Stegostoma tigrinum: one gene and its partner. The protein of the gene in region 2 interacts with the protein of the main gene of each other region in a pairwise test. Links are inferred from orthologs where the notes say so. Each region holds a gene or a part of one and is shown on either strand. Other genes may lie near its edges. The genes, in order: gpsm1b and coiled-coil domain-containing protein 158-like.

Region 1 (13,150 bases), on a different chromosome or scaffold from region 2:
TGCACTGCCACCTCAGTGATACTAATTGTCCCAGCTCTGGACACGCCATACTGCAGCCACCGCCCTGCCAATGCCAGGAGGCCCCACTCTGGGCCCAGTACAACCAGCAGTCCCTGGATCTGTTGCCAGGCCAGGCCACTGCTTCGTTAAGAGTCCTGCTCCGGCTGCCTTCCTCTGAGATGTCACCTTGCTGTGGCCACCATCTTGAAAAATCCACTGTCACCTCCAATCCTTGGAGGAGCTTTGCCACTGAGTACTAATCTCTGGACTGTAATTCCAGAGGTAAAAACAGAAGTTAGAACATAGAACTTACAAAAGTACAGCACAGTACAGGCCCTTTGGCCCACGATGTTGTGCCGTGGAATAATCCTAAACCAAAAATAAAATAACCTAACCTACATTCCCCTCAATTCACTGCTGTCCATGTGCACGTCCAGCAGTCGCTTAAATGTCACTAATGACTCCGCTTCCATGACTACCACTGGTAAACTATTCCATGCACTCAACTCTCTGGGCGAAGAACCTCCCTCTGACGTCTCCTCTAAACCTTCCTCCTAACACCTTAAAACTATGACACCTTGTTGCAGTCAATCCCGCCCTGGGGAAAAGTCTCTGGGCAAAAGTTGCTGGAAAAGTTCAGCAGGTCTGGCATCATCTGTGAAGAAAAATATCAGAGATAACATTTCGGGTCCAGTGACCCTTCCTCAGATCGAGGGAGGCAAGGAATTACTACCACTAGGCCATAGCCTCTCCTGAGACTGTCTTCTGACTAGCTGGAGGGCTTACTTACTTCCCGAACAGTCTCAGGTAAATTTTCAGTCTCCATTTTTGGCCTTGAGTAGACCGTTCTTCTTGTCTAGTGTCATAAGGCGACTTACCCTGTAAAAATCTCACGGTAAAAGCACACACAGCACTCAAGAAGGAAATAATTAGTAACTGGGCAGAGTCCAATAACACAGTTTTTGAAGACTATAGCCTCACATTCTCAAAAATACCTTTACTTGCAAAGAGTTAATTATAACCCCAAAACTATTTTCAACAGTTGAGAGATTGTTTTACATGTCACGTAAGGAGGTTGGGAAGTTTGACTGCAGAATTGCCTCAGGACCCCGTCAGAAATGCACTAAGAATACAAGTTGTATCTGAATGAATAAAAGTTGGCTACAAACAAGTTGAAATGACAAAAGAAAGTTGTTCAATTGCATCAAATTAAGGAGCACACTGAGAAGATCACATCACCAGAGCAACCCAGAGTGCAGCTCCAGGCTTACCAAGATTTTCCTTAAAACTTGGCTCCATGCAAAGACTCAGCAAGAAAACAAGTGGAAGTGTAAATCAATCCTGAGGTTGTACTTGAAAGAAGCCATTTATTGGCAAGTAGCTACTATGGTTCAAACATAAAAGGCTATAAATACAACCAGGTAGGCGGCTTTGGAACATGGTGTTTGCTGCTCAAATTACATTCTTCTCCTTATTGGACTAACAGATTGATTGATCATTTGGCTGGGCACTTGCCTTCAATGTGCCCCTGAACATTCAATCATTTGGCATTTTAGTTCTCAAATCCACTTCCACTCTTCTTTGCCCTTTACCTCCTGATGTTCCGATGTAAGCTCGCACAACAGCATCACATCATTTGAATAAACGTTTTACAACCTTCCCTATGGAGCTCATTAAGGTCTGATCATAACCACTGTTTTTGAGAGACGTGCTCATGTTAAGTGGCTTTGCTTTCAATGTATCTCCTCCAAACCTATCTTTTGTTTCCCCACTGCTTGATGACATACTTTGTCAAACCCTGTCCTAACATCAAGGGCAGAAACTCTCATTTCTCCTCTGGAGTTCAACTCCTTCGTTATGTACTTGTTCAAGCTATCGGACTGCCGTTTGTCATACACCATGACCAGCACATGTCAGTTTGTAAATCCTGTATGTATGTCACAGATCTCTTCTCTTGTTCTGTCTTTCTCCTGCTCCACACTCTTCCTATCTCTGTACTTTCAAGTCAGTCATTACTGGACAACAAGCACTTCCTCCAATACAATATTGGAAAGACTGAAAGCATTGCTTTTGATCTCTATACCAAACTTCATTGCCTATTTTCAGGCTCCATCCCTGCCCATGGCAATGGCCTAATTTAAGCCTATATGTTGACTTGTACAAATGTGCAAAAAGGAATTGAGCGCCAGAGGAGAAAGGAAAGGGACTATCCTTAACAAGGCAGAATTTGACCAAGTATAGCACTAAGGAGCTCAGAATCAATGGGAAGCACTGGGAAAACTCCCTGCTAGTTAGAATCACACCCTTGCACAAAAGAAGATGGCTATGATTGTTGGAGGTTAGTCATACCCAAATGACATTTCTGCAGGACTTTCTCACGGTAATGCCCTAGGCCCAAACACCCTTAGTAACTTCTTCAATGAACTTCCAAGGTCTAAGGTTGGGATATTTACTAATGATTGAACAACATTCAGCATCACTTGCAACTCCTTAGAGACTGAGGTAGTCCACGTCCAAATACAACCTGGCTGGGACAATATTCAGGCTTGAACTGAAAAGTGGCCAGTAACATTCATGCCAAATAAGTGCCAAGCAATGGCATGATCCAACGAGCTAAACTAAACCTTGGTTCAATGGCATTGCCATTGCAGATTCTTACACTGTCAACATTCTGGGGATTACCGCTGAACAGAAGCTGAACTGCTCCAGACACATGGAAGAAATGCCACCTGCAAGTTCCCCTCAAAGAGACACCATCCTGATTTGAAACAATATTCTTGTTACTTCACTATCACTGGGTCAAAACCCTGCACTGAGTCATTAACAGCACTTTGGGCATTCATCCGATGTACGACAGCAGTTTAAGGTGGCAATTAACCACCAGGTAAGGTTGGGTGATAAATGCTGGACCAGCCAGCGATGCCCATCTCCTGTGAATGAAAAAAAAAACTTGTCTTTCTTTTCCTACAATAGTCGGTGGGTTAAAGAAATTGCTCTGAAATTACCTGAAATTGCGCACTCTTATACGTGATTATTCACTGCGACACAGCATGTTATCCTGTATCTATGTTTCAGCTTACCAGTACATCTTTACAATCAGGTCCTGCAATTAGTGCCATGTGATGATTTACTGAGAAATGTCAAAGTCGCTAAAGTGAGACTATTTGGGCTGCAGGTTACCACTGCTGTCTGCGGGTCTGAAAGGGTTAATATTTGTTTGCGTGCAGTTAGATCACTGAGCAGTCTCCTGGCTGTTAAAACACACAGACAGATTGCGAACTTGACCAAACAGCAAGGGATGCTGGGTACACTGGCCAAGTAAAACTCTGAAATCAAAATCCACATCTCAGACACACTGCAAACACAGCAGCCAAGTGCTAATGACATTGGCATAATGTAAAAAGCAACAGTTATTCTGGACAGACATATCCAACAGCTTTTCCACTAAACAGAGAGCCCAGTCAGAAAGACACCGGGTCCTGCTACACAAGAAACACACAGCAGCATGCCATCTAAATTGTTGACTCTTGATTGAAACTATTAAGTCTGAGTCCCTGATTGGCCAGAACTACAGGAAGTTCCAGAAAGCCACATAAAAAGGTATAAAAGCAGGGTTCACCTACAACTTTCTCTGTTGGAACTGCTGTTGGAATCATCTAAGGCCTTCTGAAAAGGCGGCCAGCATGGCAAGACACAGAGGCCAGCTAACCATCCAGACAGAGAGGAAGAACGCAGCCGGGCAGACTCAGAGACAGAGAAACTGTGTAAATCTATTAAAGACTCAGAGTATTGTAAACTTAAGGGGCCAAATAGTATTAAAGATAAGTTTAGTATTAAAGATTATTGTAACTTTATTCTTAATAAAGTTGGAAGCATTTTACTTTGGTATTGGCTTCTGTCCATATTTATTTGACCACTTTGGTATTGTGGGATATCTGGGCAAACTCATTTATAAAACTTTCTGGTTGGAGTTGCCTGCAACTTCTTTAAGATGGAACTAAAGACAACCTATAATAATGTCATGAGGACTTGGTCCAGGTGAGGAAGCAGCTCATAGGAGGCAGACCTAGTGCTGTTGTGCTCCTCCAAGTCTCTGCAACAATGCAGGTCATATTCATGTAAGCTGTAAATACTCACTACATTGCAGTAAATTTCAAGCTCTTCACTCAACAAAATTCTTGCAGTTAGAACAGAATGGTCGATATCCTATTCCACACTTCATCACTTTGAACTTGATGGAACCCAAACGCAACATGGTGGCAATGGTGGGTCCCTGCCAAAAACGCAGTGAGCAGTGACTGGCGCCATTTCCGAGTGGTGGTCACAAAATTCTTCTGGTTAGACGAGAAAGCCGGAAATCCTAATCCACACTAACTCATTTCAGGCTTGAAGTGCAACCGTAGCAACCATCTAAGATAAGATATGTTATCCCATTTAAATCTATCATACCTTGGCTGTGACCATAAGCTTGGGCATTTTAGACAGGTATATGTTAAGTCTTCCTTTGGTACTTACTTCAGACATAATTTCAGATTTTTACATTTTGACAAAAAGGAACAGCTTGCACTTTCAAGTAACTTCAGGATGGCCCAAAGAGTTTACAGCAAATTAAGCATTTGTTTGAAATGGACACACTGTGGAAATGCAGCAGTCAATTTGCACTCATCAAGTTCCTGTACATGGTAACGTGAGTGACCAATTGGTTTGAGATCAGGTAGAATCCCAGGGAAAACCTGCCTGTCTTCTCAGCAACATGGACGGCCCCTCAGTTCATTGTTTCATTTGAACAAGAGCCCATCTGACAGCACAGCACTCCCTTAGGTCCATACTTGGGAATGTCAGCTTGGATTTTCCACTTAATTGAGTGGTAAATTGAAGAAACCGTCATCACTAACATCCTATGTGGTGCCACAGCCAAGAGATTGGGTTTTTTTTGGATAAATTATCACGAGTCTGCTTCTTCAAAAGATATGCAGTGTAAGCAAGTAAGAAGAGGATTGAACTCCATTGAACTCCATCATGCTGCCCTGCCCCCAGCAATTACAAATATCTCAACATGAACATAGCATCCAATTGCACTTCTAGCTCTTTGCAAACTTAATGTTATGTACATGGCAAACACTAGACCTGATCTAGATTTCTCAGCAGCACATACATACACATGGGGGTGGGGTGGGGAAAAAGAGAGAGAGGTGGGGGGGGGGGCGGGGTGGAGAAGGAAGGAAATAAAGAGGGAAGTTATCTCAATTCCTGATATTACTGGTGGCACTTGGCATCAGTGTGTGAAAAATCACAACCAATGATTTAACCCATTGAAAACCTTATTCATCCCATAGATACTTGTTGCTGCAAAGTTCAGGTTGAAGTGATAACTTTCCACAGATATGTACTGATAGATATTAACTTGAATGTGTATTTTTAAAAAAAATTTAGAGGAAAAAAGAACAGTTTTACCTTTTCTTTTGCATGTTCTTAATCTTTTGGACATAGAACCACAACTCCAGGCTGACTGGCAGCAGGACAGCGCGAGGCCTTGCTCCAGGATGGACAAGTCTGGAAACCGCCATCTCTGCCATGTTGAACCCCAAAGGTTGAGTTTTGAACTGTAATGTTGGCATTGTAGCAGAAGCAACGCTCCATGAAGAGCACAGGATCAATATCCAGATCACGCAAATTCAAGACACATACATGCTGCTGTCTCTCAACTCAGAAGTTGTACTCACAGTGAACACAAGGTGACAACGGTGCACAAAGCCAATTTAATCTCGACAAAATTGACATTGAATTGTTGTTGCCCGCTCTATCTCACCTCTATAGCAAACAGGCAGTCTCCTGGAACAATTTATCCATGTACGAACACCACTGCTGACCAAGAAGCTCAAACGAGAGTGTATGGACTCACCCAACGTAACAGATGACGACTCACAGCTGTCATCGTCCAACTAATGCTACTAAAGAAATCCTCTATAATTCAGCAAAGTGCCAGCATCAGCTTTGTGTCCGTTAACCCTCGGATTACCAGCTCAGCATCTGCATGCAGCAACTTGCAACAAGATTAGGCCAAGAAAAATTATACTGAAGAAATGCCAAGTCTTAGGAAGAAAGATACAGGAGACAGAATCTTTGCACATTTTTAGGCCAGGGCTCGAGAGATTCTTGTTAAGTAAGGGTTTGAAAGGTTTTTGGGATAGACTGGAATAGGGGCTTAAGGTTGCAATTAGATCAACTGTGATCTTATTGAATGGCGGAGCAGACTCAAAGGGCTCACACATAAGCCAAAGTTACCACAAGCCATCTTTTTGGAATTGCTGTTTCATGAAATACACAAGAGCCTGGTGGTTGGTTCAAGGTGGGCATGGATTGGGGGGGGGGGGGGGGGTGGTGTTGGTAGGCAGGCAACTGATGGTGGAGAATGGATGATTGACGTGAAATTCAACTTATGTGGGATCTTGAAATGGAATCTATCAATCCTACTCAAACCCATTCACTGAATTCTGCCTCTCAGACATTGGTCTTACCCAGTGGCTTGCAGGCAACATAGCAACCTCTCTGAATGGCATCATGAATTGGTTTGCTGATAGAGCAAAGGTTCTTTTGGCCTCTGATACGAAGGGATCAGATAACAATTTTGGGTAACTACAACTCCTATTGATGCTATTCCCACTGAACCCCTCCCCCCACAACTTTTGCCTCCCACAGATGACATGGTGTGGGTGGAAATAGGAAGCGTAGGCATCTTGAATAATGGACCGCTCTGATGCAGCGAGTCATTCCTTGTCAGTCATTTTCAGATGTTTTGCAGTCTTAATAGAACATAGTTTTGCTCAAATCAGCAGGATAATTCATCCTAATAATCAAGGAAAAGTTAGAAGTAAATTAACCATTTAACATCAACACCAGAGGTCGCAACACAAAGTGTATGCTACCTGCACAGAAACAGGCCATTCAGCCCTCCCAGTCCATGCTGTGTTTAGTAGAGCATTAATACCATCTTTCTTCATCTAAACCTGCAATAATCATCTACTCCTTTCTTCCTCAGATATATATATGTATTTAAAGGGAACAAGATGTTAGGAAGCTAGTGCCGGAAATCACAGCCCTGAAAAGCAGACAAGAAGGTGATTCAAATAACATGCTAAATAAACGTCATTGACATAGCAACAATGAGGTGCAGCTTAGCAACAGCCCTCATCACTATCTGGCATTATTTCAGTGTGACTGATTTGGATGAGTATCCAAAAGAAAATAGAAAGGAAGCGAGAGAGAGCGAGCGAGAGATCACAGTTGTTGCTCTGACTTGGCATCAGCTGTGTGCTTCTCGCTTCTCTTTCAAAGTTTTCATCTTCACCAGGAAACAAGATGGAAAGCAGTTAAGTTAAAAGCCACAACCATCTCCAAACAAATAATTAAATTCTAATATTCTTCTCACTTCAATCTTTAATACAGGTATTTCTAGCACAGAAACATGCTATTCAGTTCATGCTAATGTTTCCTTAATCAAGATCCATGAGCCGATTCTTCAATTCTTTTCACCTTGTAGCAAGCATCTAGCTTCCACTAAAACGTATCATAGAAATCCTAGAATCCCTAACACTATGGAAGCAGGCCATTCAGCCTGAGCCCACACTGACCCTCCAAACAGCATCTCACCCAGCCTTACCCTCCTAAGCTATCCCTGTAACCCTGCAGTTACCATAGCTAATCCACCTAACCTGCACATCCTTGGACACTATGGGCAATTTCTCATCGACAACCTACTCAAACTTGCATGTCTTTGGACTATGGGAGGGAACTGGAGCCCGGAGGACACATACACAGACACACAGAGAATGTGCAAATTCCACACAGACAGTCCCTCGAGGCTAGATTCGGCCCCAGGACCCAATGCTATGAAGCAGCAGTGCTAACAGTGAGCCACTGTGCTGCCCCACCAACAAAAATATCCATCAGCTGCCCCATATCTTAATTATTTGCTTCAAATACTCCTTGCAGCACCATGTTTCACTGCCAAACTAGCTTTATTACATTTTTTATGCTTTTCACTCTGTTTTAACTTTTCCATTGTTATTTCTAATAAAGGCCATTGATTTTTCTGCTTTTTGAAGGAAGTAGTAAAAGCTTGAATCCATAGTTCAATACCTTAGATGAAGACTGCATTCATTGTATATACAAACTTGAGAAGAGTTTTTAAAACTAAAAATAGTCTTTTGTACTCTTTCTCGGTCATTTTACTCCCAGCAAATATCAATTATCCTTCTCCACAGGAGGTAATTCCATGAAAAAAAAGCTCTCTTTGGAACATGGTACAGCATTGATGATGGCTAATCAGCTAAAGGTATGTTGATAACGCTTGTGAAAGTCCTTCAAATTCCTCCTCGTAGAGTAGTTGAGTAGGATTTGTTGAATAACTAGTAAAGAATTTCAGCATTAAGTGCCAGAAACAGCAGTCAGTTCACATTAAACAAAATGAGTAGTTGTTACACAACAATCGCTATTAAATGACACTCAAATCAAGTGGTTGAACTCCAAACCTCAACTGTGCAAAGACATGCCTTTCATGGCATCTTAGCAAATGCTCCTGCCTCCAGCGCACTGACTGCTGTGCCCAGATCAAAAAGGTACTGCATGTATCGCATGAGAGAACATAATTAGCCCATCAAGACTGCCATTTATGTGGGCAGAGCCTCAAAAAGTGTCAACCAACACCAGCCTTTCGATTATGCTGGGTCTCCAGCATGACAGTTCTCAACTCAGCATTCCAAAACCAATGCAAAATTCATTGTTCAAATTATTTGTAGATAAAAAGTGCAACTTAACTATAACAAAACAAAGAAATGCACATGCTGGAAATCTGAAACACACAAAAATTGAGGGAAACCCCTCGGCAGGTCTGGCTGCATCTGTCGAGGGAGAAAACACAGAGTTAATGCTGGTCCAGTGACCAGCTTTGATGTTCAACTTTGCCCTTTTCTGTCTCCACAATCTGCTGCAACCTATAACCTTCGAAGACTTTTGTCTCTCTTTGCAAACCCCAACTCACGTCACTGCATTTTGACATTCATGTACCTTCAAGTACCTAAATCCCAAGGTCCAGACTCCCTCTCTTCCCGCTTCCTTAAAGACGCACGCTGAAACCTAGCTCTCTGATCAAGCTTTTTGATTACCTGATATCTTCCATGGTTTGGAATCAACTACTTTTCCTAGAAATTAATGTTGTGAAGCTGCTGGTGGATTGGTTTACCACACTGTTAATGGTGACAATATAAACAATAGTTGTTCATTTGATGCAGCAAAACCCCAAATGCAGTAAGGATAATTACCACAAATAGGTCATGCCCCATTTGATGCAGCAAAACCCAAATGCAGTAAGGATAATTACCACAAATAGGTCATGCCCCATTTGATGCAGCAAAACCCAAATGCAGTAAGGATAATTACCACAAATAGGTCATGCCCCATTTGATGCAGCAAAACCCAAATGCAGTAAGGATAATTACCACAAATAGGTCATGCCCCATTTGATGCAGCAAAACCCAAATGCAGTAAGGATAATTACCACAAATAGGTCATGCCCCATTTGATGCAGCAAAACCCCAAATGCAGTAAGGATAATTACCACAAATAGGTCATGCCCCATTTTTCCACTTAGCCCCTCCCTGGTGTACATTTTGACCTTAAATTAAACAACTTAATATCCAAAAAGATTATGCTGAAATGGAATAAATACAGCATCTGCAACAACTGATACAATAATTAACTGCCTTTGTTCAGGCTGTGTTGGCCACAAGATTTGTTTCCAAATTATCTGCTCAAGGCTTTTCCAGGAATCAAGATCTAGGGTTTATCATTGGAAATTGAAGACAACTCTACTTGTGCTCACTTCAGGGCATTTTCATACAGCAAAATAAAGTGCAACACATCTTTCATACTACTGGGAGTGGAGGCCAGCCAACTTCCCAAAGGAGGTGGCTAAGGAAGGGGCATTTCTGTTATCTAGGAATGTCTTTAGCTGGTTTCACAGACCTACTTTTTGCCTGCTCAGAGAGTTATCCCCCAGTTCTCTCAGCACTTACAGTCACAATCCAGACAAAAAAAAAGGGCCACCATCTGAGAGATAGGATGCTATTCCCAGATCCCATCTGCTCTCAAAGTCATAGAAATATACAGCACAGAAACAGACAGTTCAGTCCAACTCATCCATGCCGACCACTTATCCAAAATTAACATAGTCCCATTTGCCAGCATTTGGCCCATATCCCTCGAAACCTTTCCAATTCATATAACCAATCCAGATGCCTTTTAAATGCTGCAATTGTATCAGCTTCCTCCAATTTCTAGGCAGCTCATGAACTACCCTCTGCGTGGAAAAGTTGTCCCTTAGGTCCCTTTAAAATCTTTCCCCTCCCCCCACATCTTAAACCCACGCACTCTAGCTTTGGACTCCCCGACCCTGGCAAAAAAGACTTTGACTACTGACCCTATCCATGCCCCTCAAGATTTTATAAGCTTCTATAAGGCCACCCCTCAGTCTTCGACACTCCAGGGAATATACCCTGAGTCTATAGCTCTTTCTCTATCAGCTCAAACCCTCCAACAACTCTGGCAACATCCTTGTGAATCATTTCTGAACCCTTGGTAGTTTAACAACATTTTTCCTATAGCAGGGAGACCAGAATTGAACACAGTGTTCCAAAAGTGACCTAACCGATGTCCTGTACAGCCTCAGATGTAAGAGTTTCTGCAGGCAGTATTTTGGAAGAGGAGCAGAGGTCCTCTCAGGGTCCAGGTCAATATTCATTCCTCAATCAACATTAGACAAGCAAGTCTGGTCAGCATCACAGACAATAAAATGTGAGGCTGGATGAACACAGCAGGCCCAGCAGCATCACAGGAGCACAAAAGCTGACGTTTCGGGCCTGGACCCTTCTTCAGAGAGGGGGATGGGGTGAGGGTTCTGGAATAAATAGGGAGAGAGGGGGAGGCGGACCGAAGATGGAGAGAAAAGAAGATAGGTGGAGAGGAGAGTATAGGTGGGAAGGTAGGGAGGGGATAGGTCAGTCCAGGGAAGACGGACAGGTCAAGGAGGTGGGATGCGGTTAGTAGGTAGGAGATAGAGGTGCGGCTTGCGGTGGGAGGAAGGGATGGGTGAGAGGCAGAACAGGTTAGGGAGGCAGAGACAGGTTGGACTGGTTTTGGGATGCAGTGGGTGGAGGGGAAGAGCTGGGCTGGTTGTGTGGTGCAGTGGGGGGAGGGGACGAACTGGGCTGGTTTTGGGATGCGGTGGGGGAAGGGGAGATTTTGAAGCTGGGGAAGTCCACATTGATACCATTGGGCTGCAGGGTTCCCAAGCAGAATATGAGTTGCTGTTCCTGCAACCTTCGGGTGGCATCATTGTGGCACTGCAGGAGGCCCATGTTGGACATGTCATCTAAAGAATGGGAGGGGGAGTGGAAATGGTTTGCGACTGGGAGGTGTAGTTGTTTATTGCGAACCGAGCGGAGGTGTTCTGCAAAGTGGTCCCCAAGCCTCCGCTTGGTTTCCCCAATGTAGGGGAAGCCACACCAGGTACAGTGGATGCAGTATACCACATTGGCAGATGTGCAGGTGAACCTCTGCTTAATGTGGAAAGTCATCTTGGGGCCTGGCTTTTCTGCAACCTTGGGAACCCTGCAGCCCAATGGTATCAATGTGGACTTCACCAGCTTCAAAATCTCCCCTGCCCCCACCGCATCTCAAAACCAGCCCAGTTCGTCCCCTCCCCCCACTGCACCACACAACCAGCCCAGCTCTTCCCCTCCACCCACTGCATCCCAAAACCAGTCCAACCTGTCTCTGCCTCCCTAACCTGTTCTTCCTCTCACCCATCCCTTCTTCCCACCCCAAGCCGCACCCCCATCTCCTACCTACTAACCTCATCCCACCTCCTTGACCTGTCCGTCTTCCCTGGACTGACCTATCCTCTCCCTACCTATACTCTCCTCTCCACCTATCTTCTTTTCTCTCCATCTTCGGTCCGCCTCCCCCTCTCTCCCTATTTATTCCAGAACCCTCACCTCATCCCCTCTCTGAAGAAGGGTCCAGGCCCGAAGCATCAGCTTTTGTGCTCCTGAGATGCTGCTGGGCCTGCTGTGTTCATCCAGCCTCACATTTTATTGTCTTGGATTCTCCAGCATCTGCAGTTCCCATTATCACTGGCCAGCATCACACTTTGTTTGACAGAGTTCACTTCACGCAAAGTGGGAACTTCACTTCCTACAATTTAACAACAGCTGCATTCCAAAAATACTTGATTTGCCAAGTAGCGCTTTGGAATTGATCAAGATCATGAATGGTGCCATATAGAGTACATGCAGAATATGCCCGGGAGACCCTGATAGGAGAGCAAGAATACTAATAAATGGGATTGAGAAAGGAGTGTAAACATTATGAAATACATTTATGCAGTGCCTTTCGTGACCAACTTGACGAGGAGCACCATCACAATCCCCCTAGCAGCTTGGCAAGGTGGATGAGGAGGGCCATTTCCACTTGCTGCAGAGTCTATATTAGAAGGCATCATCTCAGAATAGAGGGGTTTTCCATTTGATATAGATGTGGAAGAATTTCTTCTCCCAGAAAGTAGACAGAATCCAAAATTAGTTTTCGGCAGTGGCTGTCGGGTACGTTCATGGTCTTTAAGCATGTTCAAAGCTGACGTGCCACAGATTATTGATCAAGAAGGGAATCAAGTCTAATGGAGAAAAGGCAAGAAAGTGGAGTTGAGGATGCTCAGATCTGACACAATCTCATTGAGACTGTATGGGCGAAGTGGCCTACTTTTGCTCCTTAAAGTCTTAACATCTCAAGGTACGTTACAGCCAATGAAGCACTGATATACATTGTCACTATTGTACTGTAGGGGGCTGCTCACAGCGATTTGCCACAATCAAAAACCTTAACTAACGTCCAGGTCAACCAGGAATGGGCAATTAACCCTGGTCTAACCAGTGATGCCCCATATCCAATTTATAAATATCAAAAAAAAGTAATGTGGTAGCAGAGACAAGACAATCTGTTTCTCAAGTGTTGTTTGAAGGATAAATATTGACCAGGATTTAAGGAAGGAAGCCTGCATTCTTCTTAAAAGTAGTGGCGTTGGATTTATTCCCAC
Region 2 (12,903 bases):
CACTCTAGAATCTGACTTTTCTAGTATTACCATCAGCTGGATACAAAGTAGGAGCTCTGGGAGAGAAAACCACTGAAGATCTGTAAAGAATCGAGTGCATGACGATACTGTGCACAAAAGCAGGACTTGTTGGGAAGTATAGTACAAAGATTGGAATTTCAAAATAAATTTGACTGTTCCAAAGATTTTTCTTGCGGTAGAAAATTTAGGACCATAAGACCATAAGACATAGGAGTGGAAGTAAGGCCATTCGGCCCATCAAGTCCACTCCGCCATTTAAATCATTTAACAATGAATTAATTGAAATCTTTGACGAAAGCTAAACTGAGAGAAATAATGAATTAAGAAAAACAGGATCTCGATAAATGCGATAAATGTCTGAATTATTAATTTACAAGCAAAGGAGGTAAATCTGAATTTCATCACTAGTAGCAGCTAGGATTCAGTTTAAAACTAATCAAACTCCAGTTTATGTATCAGGAAAATGTAGGCTAAAATACTAAAAGATTGATTGACCAGGATTACATTAACATAGTCAAGTTTTACCAGGCAGATTCAGAATCATAGAATACCTACAGTGTGGAACCAGGCCATGAGAGAATGTAGACACAGAGAGAATGTGCAAACTCCATACAGACAGTCTCCTGAGGATGGAATCGAAACCAGATCCCTAGCGCTGTGAGGCTGCCGTGATAACCAATGCACCACCATGCCACCCATTTGTTTTGTTGTGGGGGAAATATTAGCCAACTAAACTTATGCGTTTAAATCTAACATAAGCTTTTGAAAACCTATTTAGCAAATCTTACTAATTTGTGAAGGACCCCAATCTAAAAATAGAATTGGGCATCAGTATCTTTTAACATTTCAACAGACTTTCTGAGGCAGTGGCTTTTGCAAAAGAAACAGCAAAAATGGTGTTGGAAACCTTTTTTTAGGAACGCGATGTGAATTACTCAAAAATAACAATTGTACCAAGGATTAAATTTAATGTCACAAATGGTCAAAGGAATAATATTTTGGGAATAAACTTATTTATATCTTTAGTTAATCAACCACAATCTCAAGGAACATTGCAAACCTGGCATCAACCATTAAAGCATGATTACAGATCATGACTGGGATAAGGGAATTCCATTGTTACGGTTTGCCATTAGGGATGTACCTATTGTGTCTACAGGATTCATTCATTTTGAAAAAAAATGTGGAAGAGGTGTGAGTTCACCTTTAAATTAGTGCTTTCTTTCAGTTAACCAATGAAAGTCTTTAACAATCTGTTTTCCTTCTCTCTTACTAGTGTATTTTCATATCCCATTCTTACTTTCCTTATTCATCTCAAATATCCTTTGTAGCTATAAAATAAGGAAAACTGAATCCTAGACTTACAAGTCTTCCTGGCAACATTATAAATCTCTGGTGAGTGAAAAGTTAAAGTAGTAGGTTTGTCATTGGTTGAATCCCCACCCCTCCATGAGGTTTTAAATTGTTCAGGCAATCTAAGTTTTCTGCAACAACTAATTTTATTTACATTTTTGCCAACGGTCATCTAGCTTTTAATCATATTTCTCAACCTGATTTAGCCCAATTGCTCCTTAAGTTTGCTTTGCTCAGTTTGAAGAACAGAGTTTCAATCAAAACTAAATCACTCAAACTCACCATTGAGCTCTCATGTTGTAATCACTCTTCCTCAAATTGGTTTACTGCAAGTTACCGATTTTTTTTGGTTGCATAATACCAGAAGTAAATAATTCTCTGTCCAAATCGATTGCTCAAAAAAAATTGATCATGAAAACTACCTTATATGCATTCCATTAACTTGTCCTCCATACTATAATTTAAAATTTGATTTATCTATTCTAAATAAAGATTAAAATTCATGCTTAATATTTTACCCTTGTTGCATTACTTTGAATACTTTTCAGAACATAACACATGGAATTAATGGCACAAAGACAGATTAATGGTTACGATCTCATAACCATTACAGAGCTATGGTTTAAAAGGAAACCCAAGTTGAGAATTGAACATTCAAGGGTATGCGACCTTTCGAGAAAACAGACAGGAAGGGAAGAGAATGGAGGGGTGGGGGTGGGATGGCTTTATTAGTACGAGATGAAATTGCTACATTGGTAAGAAATTACCTTGAATCAGAAGATATTGAATTCAGATTGGAGGAGGTAAGAAATAGAACGGGAATAAGTAAGACACTGGTAGGAGTTGTCTATATGCCGCCTAACAGTAATTGTTCTATAGGTCAGAGGATAAATCAGAAGGTAAAAAGGCACTGTACTAACCATAGGAGACCTTAATCTACACATAGACTGGAGAAAAATCAAATTGGCAGAGTGGCTGAGAGGAAAAATTCAAAGTGCATTTGGGACAGTTTTCTAGAACAATAAAAAAAGACTGTGGCCCAATAAGACTGTGCTGGCACAGGGTACTTTTCGCTGCTATGCGGTCGATATCTCTCATTTGCTGGCCTTTTCATCTATCTGTCATGACGACTCTTAAATGTTGTATCTGCCTCCACTACTTCCTCTGGCAAAACATTCCAGAAAGGTACCACCATCTGCATGAAGAAATTTGCCTCTCATTTCCTTTAGACTTATTCCCTTTTACCTTAAACCTACATCCCCAATTAATACTTCTACCCCTGGGAGGAAAAAAAAAGGCTCTGACTATCCATTTTACCCACGCCTCTACCAAGTTTGTAAACTCCTGTCAGACCACCTCTCATCCTTTGGCATTTAAGTCAAAACAAACCACATTTTCCCAATCTCTCCTCATAGCTAATACCCTCCAAACCATCCTGGTAAACCATTTCTGTATCCTCCACAAAATCTCCACATCGTTCTGCGAATGTGAGTATCAGAACTGTGCACAATATTCTGAATGTGGCCTAAAGTTCTGTGTGTTATGGATCCAAACAGGGATCAGTCTCTTTTGTATCTAATAATGAGTAATGAGGCCACTTTAACAAATGATCTGAGGACAACACATCCCTGGCAATCGTGACTGTACCAAGGTAGAGTGTCGCATTTAGTTTGAGAAATGGAAGCTTGGGCCAGAAACAACTGTGCTAAACTTCAATAAGAGTAATTCTGTGAGATTGAGAACAAAGTTGGTTGCTGTGGACTGGAAGAGGAATTGAACTGAAAAAGGCAGTTGATGAACAAGGGAAAACATTTTTAAAAATAAGTTCATGACTCTCAGCAAAGATAATCCCGGTGAGGAAAGTTGATACTAGGAAAGGAATACACCGATAATGATTAACCAAGGAAGTTAAAGACTGTATTTTTTTTATTTCAATTTGAAACAGTACACCAAAAGATTTGTGGTAAATCAGAAGACTGGCATTCAAAATGTTCCCAACAGAAGATGATTAAAAAAGTGCAGAAAATAAACTGAGGGCAACTAGCAAGTAACATAAAAACAAAAATGTGACTAACGGAATAGAGGGGCTCAGTGAATATAGGCCCTTTACAGAGCAAGTCTGGGGAAATGTTAATGGGGTGCCAGGAAACGGCAGAGGAGTTGAGAAAATATATTGCATCCGTCTTCAATGTAGAGAGTGCTAATAGCATAGCAAAAAAAAAGCAGGGAGTGAGGGTTTGGACTGGATAAACACAATAAATATCACTACGGAAAATGGATTACACAAATTAATGGGACTAAAGACTGATATGTTCTTGAAGCTGCTGGGTTGTATCCCGGGATTTTAAAAAAACACAACTTTAGAGAGCAGATACACTTAGAATAAATCTTTCAAATCACCACAAGCACATTCATACCATAGTCCTTTCAAAATAAATCCATTACATGCTACCTTTTCATAATTATTTTTAGAATGGCCAAACATATTTGCACATCTATTGCACAACCTTCTTCAAACCTTTCTGCTACTTTCAAAAATATAATCAAATCAGTCAGTTGCGATTTGCTTTAAAACTGTACTGGTTGCCCTTTATTAAACCTGCCTCAGAGGTCCAGGTGAATTAACGACTCATTCAAAAGACAGACACGGCCTCTTGGTGAAAGGAAAACCTTGGTTTCTTTTTTAAAAAATGAGTAGTAAGAAACAAAAGCTTGGAGTGAAGGTACACTCACTAGAATTCGGAAACCTGCAGCGCTCCAACACTAGCTTTTCCTTACAGCCTTCCATAGGATCACAAGAGTTTTTCTAGAAAAAAAATCAATCAGGGGATTTGGGCCAGCATTTATCACCTAATCCTAACTGGCGTTGAGAAGCTTTGTAGAATTGCGGCCTGGTTTCAGACAGAAAGTGTGATCAGAGATAATGGGAACTGCAGATGCTGGAGAATCCGAGATAACAGTGTGGAGCTGGAGGAACAGAGCAGGACAAGCAGCATCTGATGAAGGGTCTAGGTCCGAAACGTCAGCTTTTGTGCTCCTAACTTGCTGCTTGGCCTGCTGTGTTCATCCAGCCCCACACTTTGTTACCTCAGACAGAAAGTGCTTCTCTTTTGCTCCTCCTACCCGAACAATATCCAAATAGCCAGCACTCATGCACATGGATATTTACATGTCGCAGCGCCCTCTCTGATTAGACAGGCCCACAGCTCACCCTCGGTTTACAAAGCGCCGCGTGAATTAAAACAAGTGAAAGAAAATGTCCTCACAGGGAGTTCATCACGAAATACTCACTTGCGAACGATCTGGAGACTGCTGACAAATCGAGGGACGATCTGCCGGTCAGTGCCGCAATATCGCCACAGGGCGCTGGGTTCTCCTCCGCTTCAGTTTCACAAACGGACATTTTTTTGTTTAAAAATAAACTTTAGGCGATTTTATATAAAAAAAACTTTTGAGGCATTAACGTTGGCTGACTTAGAAAAATACGCATTTACAGTAAATAAATATAGGAATCTATGTGATTATTTATTTAAAACAAGCAAGTTCAGCTAAAAAATATATATTTAGGATAAGACTGTGACTTTAAGATAATACAAAAAAATAAGCTGTTGACTAATTGTGCGCGCACACGGAGGTTTCGGAGGGCTTCGGTTAAAACGCCACCTGTCGCCCCTGGTTACAGTAGAAGCCTTTCTTGCCTCTAGCTCTATCCGAGCGGTCACCGGGGACCTCCCCCGCCTGCTGCGTCAGTCACCGCCGCTTGGCCTGATCGCTCCAAAGTCCCCGGGAACCGGCTGCCGCGGGAGAACAAGCGGCAGAACGCCAACGGGCTTCCAACGCTTCGTATCTTAGCAACCGCCGTTCCTACGCCCAGCAGCTCTGTGAAGTGACAATAGACCCCCCAAAAATAAACCACAACCGCTGTGACGTCACAAAAAGACGGCCGCTGCAGGGATTCCCAGCTCAAGCAGGTGGCAGTGCCACTTAACCTGCCCTTGCGGAAGTGTTGTATACATCCACAAAACACTAACGTGGCCCCCAGCTGAACACTTTAAAACATGAAGATTTGACGTAGGAAATCCCTTGAGGTTTGAGGAACGTATTTGGACTATTAACTATCATGATCACGGGCAATAAGAATTGAAACTGGTGCCTCTTAATGTTTGGATGCTGGTGAATCTCTGGCGCTCTTGATGGCGTTACGTTTTAGAAAGCGAAATGTAGAGGCAAGTGGTCAACACCCCATTGACTCTTAGCATTTTTATTTGCTCCATGATCCTGCCTGAACTCTGACATTTGTTTGCCGAATTATTGTGATTGGTCGATAATTAGCAAAACAATGGAAGGCTTAATGCATGTGCCATTACTGGAGTGTAAATTGTACAGCAATTGTTTTTGTCATAGAGCTGAAATGGTGTGAATTGTGAATCACCTGAAATTGCCCCAAGATATGTACTCTCCCGCTAATAGTTATGTGGAAATGATAACAAGGATGACTGTCTCCTTGTTAATTTCAAGTTATTACTATAATTAAATATTCGTTACAGATTAAATTTGTCGCTGAAAATCAGGGTTGGTACTTATCAACGTAATTCCACGATTTATATTCTCATAATTGTCTAGTCTAGAAAGGGAAAATATGAAATGTTTAAGTCTCGTTACGGGAAGTAGTAATTTGATCCTTAAAGTTTTTAAATCAGAATTTATTTTCATTGTTTTACCTTTTCTGTCGTTGTGTTCTCTATTAATGTCATCTTTATTTCCCGTTGTATGTTTCTATTTCCGTTCTTGACTTGATTTTAAATCACAGTTTCTTCCTTTGTCATCTCTCTGATTCCGTAACCATTGGTATATCTGATCAGTTAAGGGCTCAGTGCGGTTGTTTGTCAAAGTCCCAGGTACCCCTTTAACAACGCAGTAATTTGCAGGGCAGCAACATTTTGAGCTGAAGATTGGGATAAACATTAATGAATGGAGTTCACTCCAGCAAATTCTGGACCTGCAAAACACCTAATAGTCATGGGTCAATCCCCAGTTAAATCAAGGCATTGAATATGCTGGTTTTAGCCTCTGAAAATGCCACTACCTCATAGATCATTGCAGATTGGTACCAGTGAGTAGAGGAATCAGATTGATCAAAGCAGATGCCACACTTTTGAAGGTTTTATGTAAGGCAAATGTGAATGATTCTTGTACATGTTTCTTACTCTTAAATGCTATAATTGAAGAAAGAAGAATAATCATAAAACTGTATGTATTGTCTCTGGAATAATTGTTTTCTGCAATGACATCAGAAACAATTTCATGAGCAGTCAGATAACGTACAGCACTTTTCCCAAGGTTCATGCATACGAACTATAGCCTTGTGATACACTGTCATAGAAAAACTGTCCTCAGGGAAATATTGCCCTTATTTATAATCTTCCTATAGTTTTCTGTCGAATTACAAACAAATGTTCACCAAAGGAAACCGTCAAGTGATTCGATACTGCTGTGATGTTGTGAATTTACAGGTTTGTGTGGCACAGAACGAAGTTATTCAACGTATTATGGCTGTACTACCCCTCTGAAACAGCTATTGAATTAGCCACACTCCCCAACCCTTTTCCATGGTACTGCAATGTTTCCTTCACACACATACACACACAAACACACACATATTTCTTTTTGAAGATTACAGTTGAATCTGCAACTACTTGTAATTGAAGAAAGAATAATCCATAAAACTTTATGTAATTGACTCTGAGATAACTCTTTTCTGCATTGATATCAGAAACAATTTCATAAGCAGTCAAATAATGTACAGCATTTTTCCCAAAATTCACTCATACCATGACCTCCCAATGCAGAACTGAAAGAGTTGTATTGTCAGAGGGGCTGACTTTAAATGAAACATTAAACCAAGATTGCATATGTTTTTGGAGTTTTCCATACAAGATCCCATAAAACTATTTTGAAAGGAAAGTTACACGTGGTGCTGTGGCCAATATTTGCGCTTTGATCAACATGCCACCAACACGGTGTTGATCATTGTTACATTACTGTTTCTGGGAACTTGCTATATGAAAATTGTCAGACACATTTCTTATATCATATTGTGATTGCAACCAGCATTAATTCATTGGCTAACAAAGTGTGAAGCTGGATGAACACAGCAGGCCAAGCAGCATCTCAGGAGCACAAAAGCTGACATTTCGGGCCTAGACCCTTCATCAGAGAGGGGGATGGGGAGAGGGTTCTGGAATAAATAGGGAGAGAGGGGGAGGCAGACCGAAGATGGAGAGAAAAGAAGCTGGTGTGGCTACCTCTACATTGGGGAAATCAAGCAGAGGCTTGGGGACCGCTTTGCAGAACATCTCCGCTCGGTTCGCAATAAACAACTTCACCTCCCAGTCGTGAACCATTTCAACTCCCCCTCCCATTCTTTAGACGACATGTCCATCATGGGCCTCCTGCAGTGCCACAATGATGCCACCCGAAGGTTGCAGGAACAGCAACTGATATTCCGCTTGGGAACCCTGCAGCCCAATGGTATCAATGTGGACTTCACAAGCTTCAAAATCTCCCCTTCCCCCACTGCATCCCAAAACCAGCCCAGCCTGTCTCCGCCTCCCTAACCTGTTCTTCCTCTCACCCATCCCTTCCTCCCATCTCAAGCCGCACCTCCATTTCCTACCTACTAACATCATCCCACCTCCTTGACCTGTCCGTCTTCCCTGGACTGACCTCTACCTCCCCACCTATACTCTCCTCTCCACCTATCTTCTTTTCTCTTCATCTTTGGTCCGAGTCCCCCTCTCTCCCTATTTATTCCAGAACCCTCACCCCATCCCCCTCTCTGATGAAAGGTCTAGGCCCGAAACGTCAGCTTTTGTGCTCCTGAGATGCTGCTTGGCCTGCTGTGTTCATCCAGCTTCACACTGTAATCTTGGATTCTCCAGCATCTGCAGTTCCCATTATCATTAATTCATTGCTGTTAAATTCTTAGAGACCCCTGAGGTCATGAAGTGCTATCTATGTTAATCCTCCTTAAATTACTTTGCAATTGAAATAATGATCCCTGCTTCTCCATGCATCAAAAGTCCCTCATCACTGGTGTCATCCTGATAAATCTCTCTGCATCCTCTCTTAGGCCTCAATATCTTTATCTTGTAGTTACTAAGTTAATCATTGGGACATAAAACTCAACTTTTATAAATATTTGTAAACAAACAATATACTGAAATTGGAGATTAATCACAGTTTAAAATATAATTGACAATTTGCTCCCATAGAGTGTTTAATTTTACAATCTAAAGATTGAAATTCCTACCAAAATCTCCAACTGAAACTGCATATGTACTAGAAGTAGGATTAGACCATTAAATTTCTTTTGCCATTCAATTATATAATGGTGGATCTGATTGAATTAATTCATCATTGTCTATCTTTCTCCTTGTTACACTGCTTTGTTCACTGACAGACATTCCAATTATTTACTGAGTAAATTTTGTTAGGAATGTCCACTTGATGATCAGGGAAGATCAACTTTGCAATGACTTTGTCATTAGAGCAATGTCCTCTGTGCCTGTTTGGGGATTACATAATGCATATATATATAACATATTCAAAGAAGATGTGGATATTCTTCTGTACAATATTTGGGCCTCCAAAGAGAATTATTGTCACACATTTCAGTTTCTGTTTGTTGGACCGTGTTATATAGAAAATGATTGTGGTACTTCCCAACCTAACCACAGTAAAAGTAATTAGTTTTGAAGTGCTTTGGGGCATGCTGACAGTGTGTATTAGATAAATGGAAATTTGTCCGTGATGAAATAGGTAAGATAAATTTTCTTTAGATTACTTGTTAGTCTTCCAGAGCAAGGAGTTGCCCTCAACTGAGTGTTACATGCTTGCACATTCCAAGGCCCAGGACTACATGCTGAGAAACGCACTAAAGCTTGGGTAGTTGCTGCCAAGGCACAGTGGGAAAAGACCACTCTCTAAGGTCTTTCTGCTGAAACTACATGGAAGTCCATTAAGTTATTTGACTATCCAGGTCCCTCAAGTATATGTAAATATAGTCTTGTACATGTAAGAAATGCAGTGAGTTTGTTTGTTATGAGATTATTAGAGTCAAACTGCAGTGTTTGTTTGTTTCATCATGTGCCACTGTATGGAACTGAACTACTATATTTATTATGTATATGAAGATATTTTTATGAATAAAGTATATTTTTGAAATAAAAATCATTTCTTTGTTAAGTTTAGTATTACATCTTGTTCCATGGAAATTCTGTGACAAATGGTAACTTCTGCTAAAGTCCAGTCAATCACTGTCCAGTTCAAGTGGCAGCAAAAACCTATTGCTTTGTGTAATAAAACAATGACCAGCAATAAAAATTAAGTCAACAAATATTTTTCACCCCCAAAACACAAACCAAGATAACTTATGGCTCTTTCTAAAAGCTCAGTTTTTCATTATCTGTTAGAATTCCATTTCATAGATCGTACTATCCCTGCAATGTGGGAACAGGCCATTGAGCCTAACAAGTCCACAACACCCCTCTGAAGAGCACCCCATCCTGACTCATTCCCCTACCCCTGCATTTCCTCATGTCTAACTCAAACATCCCTGAACACTATAGGCATTTTAGCATGGCCAATCCACCTAGCCTGCACCTCTTTGGACTGTGGGAGGAAACCAGAGCAGCCAGAGGAAATCCACGCAGACTCAGGGAGAACGTGCAAACTCCACACAGACAATCGCCCAAGGGTAGAATTGAACCTGGGTCCCTGCCGTTGTGAGGCAGTAGTGCTAACCTCTGAGCCACGATGCCACCCTTGTTGACTTATTATTCTTTTAAGCTGCAGCCATCAATTTGTCATAGGTAATTACATCCTGCTGTCAGTGATACTGTTTTGCCTCAGGTTTAAAACTCCCAGCCTGCTTCTCAATCTACTGCGACCCTTCCCAATTAATTATATATAGTTTTAACCACCAACTGAATATATGACTTTAAAATGACAACTGACAGATCTAGGTTTACTGGTTCACTAATGGCCTGTTCTGTTGCTTTCATTTGGTGAAAAGATTGTCTTGGCCTTCCCTGTGCTGTACCCAAGGAAAACAGAACTATATAAAAACAATGACTTCAGGTGCAAATATGACTTAAAAAAAGGAGATGCTTATTATTAATAACTTGATAATTGATGTTCACATTTACAAATCCTGTATTTATCTCAGTCAAGTTTTGTTTACAAATAAAGTCAGCATAATTAATTAATAACCTGATAACACAACTGTAGGGATTTAAGAAATGTCCACCTTGAAACTGTAAATTAGTTATCAAGTCATTAATTATAGAAAACAATAAATATTCTGTTTCCTATTGGAAAGCCAACTCCAGCAGTACTACCTCCCCTGCATCACTTCCAGCCCTTTCCCCCTCTAATGCACCCGTCCTGCTGGTCATATTTGTAGATTTTATTTCTATTTGATTTCACCAAACTTATGTTTTCCAATCTTTTCAATATTAATTTGAATAATATTCAAAATTTGTCTGTTGCAGTTCCTGTTGTTTATTTTGGGTTCAGATGGAAAACTAAGAGTGATGGTTAATTGTTATTTATCAGACTTGGAAATGGTCAACTGTGGTACTCCTTGAGGATGACTACACTTTTTAAAATAGCCTTCTTTTACAACATGAGTGTACTGAGGTGAAAATCACACAGAAAATTTCCTTGAAACCAGTATCCTGTATCTCTAGTTTTGATTCAGAACAGTGAAATATCAAGGTGTATGTCACTAACATAGAACATAGAACATTACAGCACAGTACAGGCCCTTCAGCCCTCGATGTTGTGCTGACCTGTCATACCGATCTCAAGCCCATCTAACCTACACCATTCCATGTACATCCATATGCTTGTCCAGTGACGACTTAAATGTACCTAAAGTTGGCAAATCTACTACCGTTTGGAGAATCTACTACCGTTGGCGAATCTACTACCGTTGGCGAATCTACTAGGACAGTCATTGACTGTTAAGGAACTGGAAATAACTTGATAAATGTCAGAAACATATTTTTAAAAGTAATGCTATCAAGACATACAATACATCAATAATAACTACAGTCTAAAATTAAATTCTGTACTGATAGTTTGAGGGAATTTATAACTTTGAGCACATTAAAAAAGGTCTACAAAATCATGAGGGGTGTAGACAAGGTGGATAGCAAGAAGCTTTTTCCCCAGAGTGGGGGACTCAATTACTAGGTGTCATGAGTTCAAAGTGAGAGGAGGAAAGTTTATGGGAGATATGCGTGGAAAGCTCTTTATGCAGAGGGTGGTGGATGCCTGGAACGCGTTGCCAGCGGAGGTGGTAGACGCAGACACGATACTGTCTTTTAAGATATATCTGGACAGGTACATGGATGGGCAGCGAGCAAAGGGATACAGACCCTTAGAAAATAGATGACAGATTTAGTCAGAGGATCTCAATCAGCACAGGTTTGGAGGGCTGAAGGGCCTGTTCCTGTGCTGTAAATTTCTTTGTTCTTTGTTCTTAGTTGTTAATTATATTCTGTATATATTTACTGTTGATATTCAGAATAGAAGTGAATTCAATTATGGTTTTATGTTTTGGATGCACTCTTTAAGTAAAGAAGAAGAAAGGGACAAAAGAATTACAAATTAATCTACATCTGGTTGCTTTGAAAGGAAATTATTTTTCTATAATAGTTTTACCATCGAGGCAGTGGTTGTAACAATACTGTAGCACTACAATAATGCAGCACTTTGTGATGTCTCTGAAATAACTTTTATTGGTCACAAGACAATACCAGTTCTGATTTTAAAAATGCCTGGTAGTCAGAACAATGGATATTACATCAAAGGACTTCCTTGATCGGAAATGGAAATGTTCTGACGTGTCTTTTGGTGCAACACAAACAAAATGGGTTACTACTGGCAAAATAACGGGTGGAAATTGAAGTTTGTCAGTTAGAATTACTCAAGGATGCTTTTAATAATTACATCATAAATTGAATGTAAATGGCACAAGTTTACTCTGAAACAATTGGACATTTTCAACATCTCTGAACTAACCATGGTACTATTTTAGTGGAAAATCTGATTTAAATCCTACGTTCAAGATTTTTCAGATTTTCATTGTCAGGTTTAGAATTGGACACATCAACAGTGCTCCATTGTGTAAAGATGTAGACATACCTGGAAAGGACAGGTAACTTCTTTACTGGAAGCAAGAAACAATAGCAGAGATTAAAAGAACTGCCTATGCTAGAGTCAAAGATAACACAGTGTGGAGATGGAGGAGCACAGTGGGCTCTAAAGAAGGGAAAGTTCCTCTGATGCTGCCTGCCTACTTTGCTCCTCCAGCTCCAAAATATACACTGTACAAGATGCACTGCAGCACCTGGTCAAGCCTGCTATGACAGCACTTTCCAAATCCTGGAACTCCCTTTCAACTGGAAAGACAAGGACAAAAGGCACATGGAAATATCACCGATATAATAAAGTGTGAAG

What was found.
Region 1: the proteins of coiled-coil domain-containing protein 158-like (region 2) and gpsm1b interact in a two-hybrid assay, tested with the Homo sapiens proteins (2 studies listed by BioGRID and IntAct). The link is inferred for Stegostoma tigrinum from reciprocal best matches to the Homo sapiens genes CCDC158 and GPSM1.

The regions. Positions count from the first base shown.
Region 1 is NC_081382.1:38,894,508-38,907,657, reverse strand, and holds the start of gpsm1b (G-protein-signaling modulator 1b), read right to left. Parts: upstream 5,785-13,150; 5' UTR 5,619-5,784; coding exon 5,455-5,618; intron 1-5,454. UniProt on the Homo sapiens protein: Guanine nucleotide dissociation inhibitor (GDI) which functions as a receptor-independent activator of heterotrimeric G-protein signaling.
Region 2 is NC_081354.1:76,628,084-76,640,986, forward strand, and holds the start of coiled-coil domain-containing protein 158-like, read right to left. Parts: upstream 5,379-12,903; 5' UTR 4,778-5,378; coding exon 4,666-4,777; intron 1-4,665.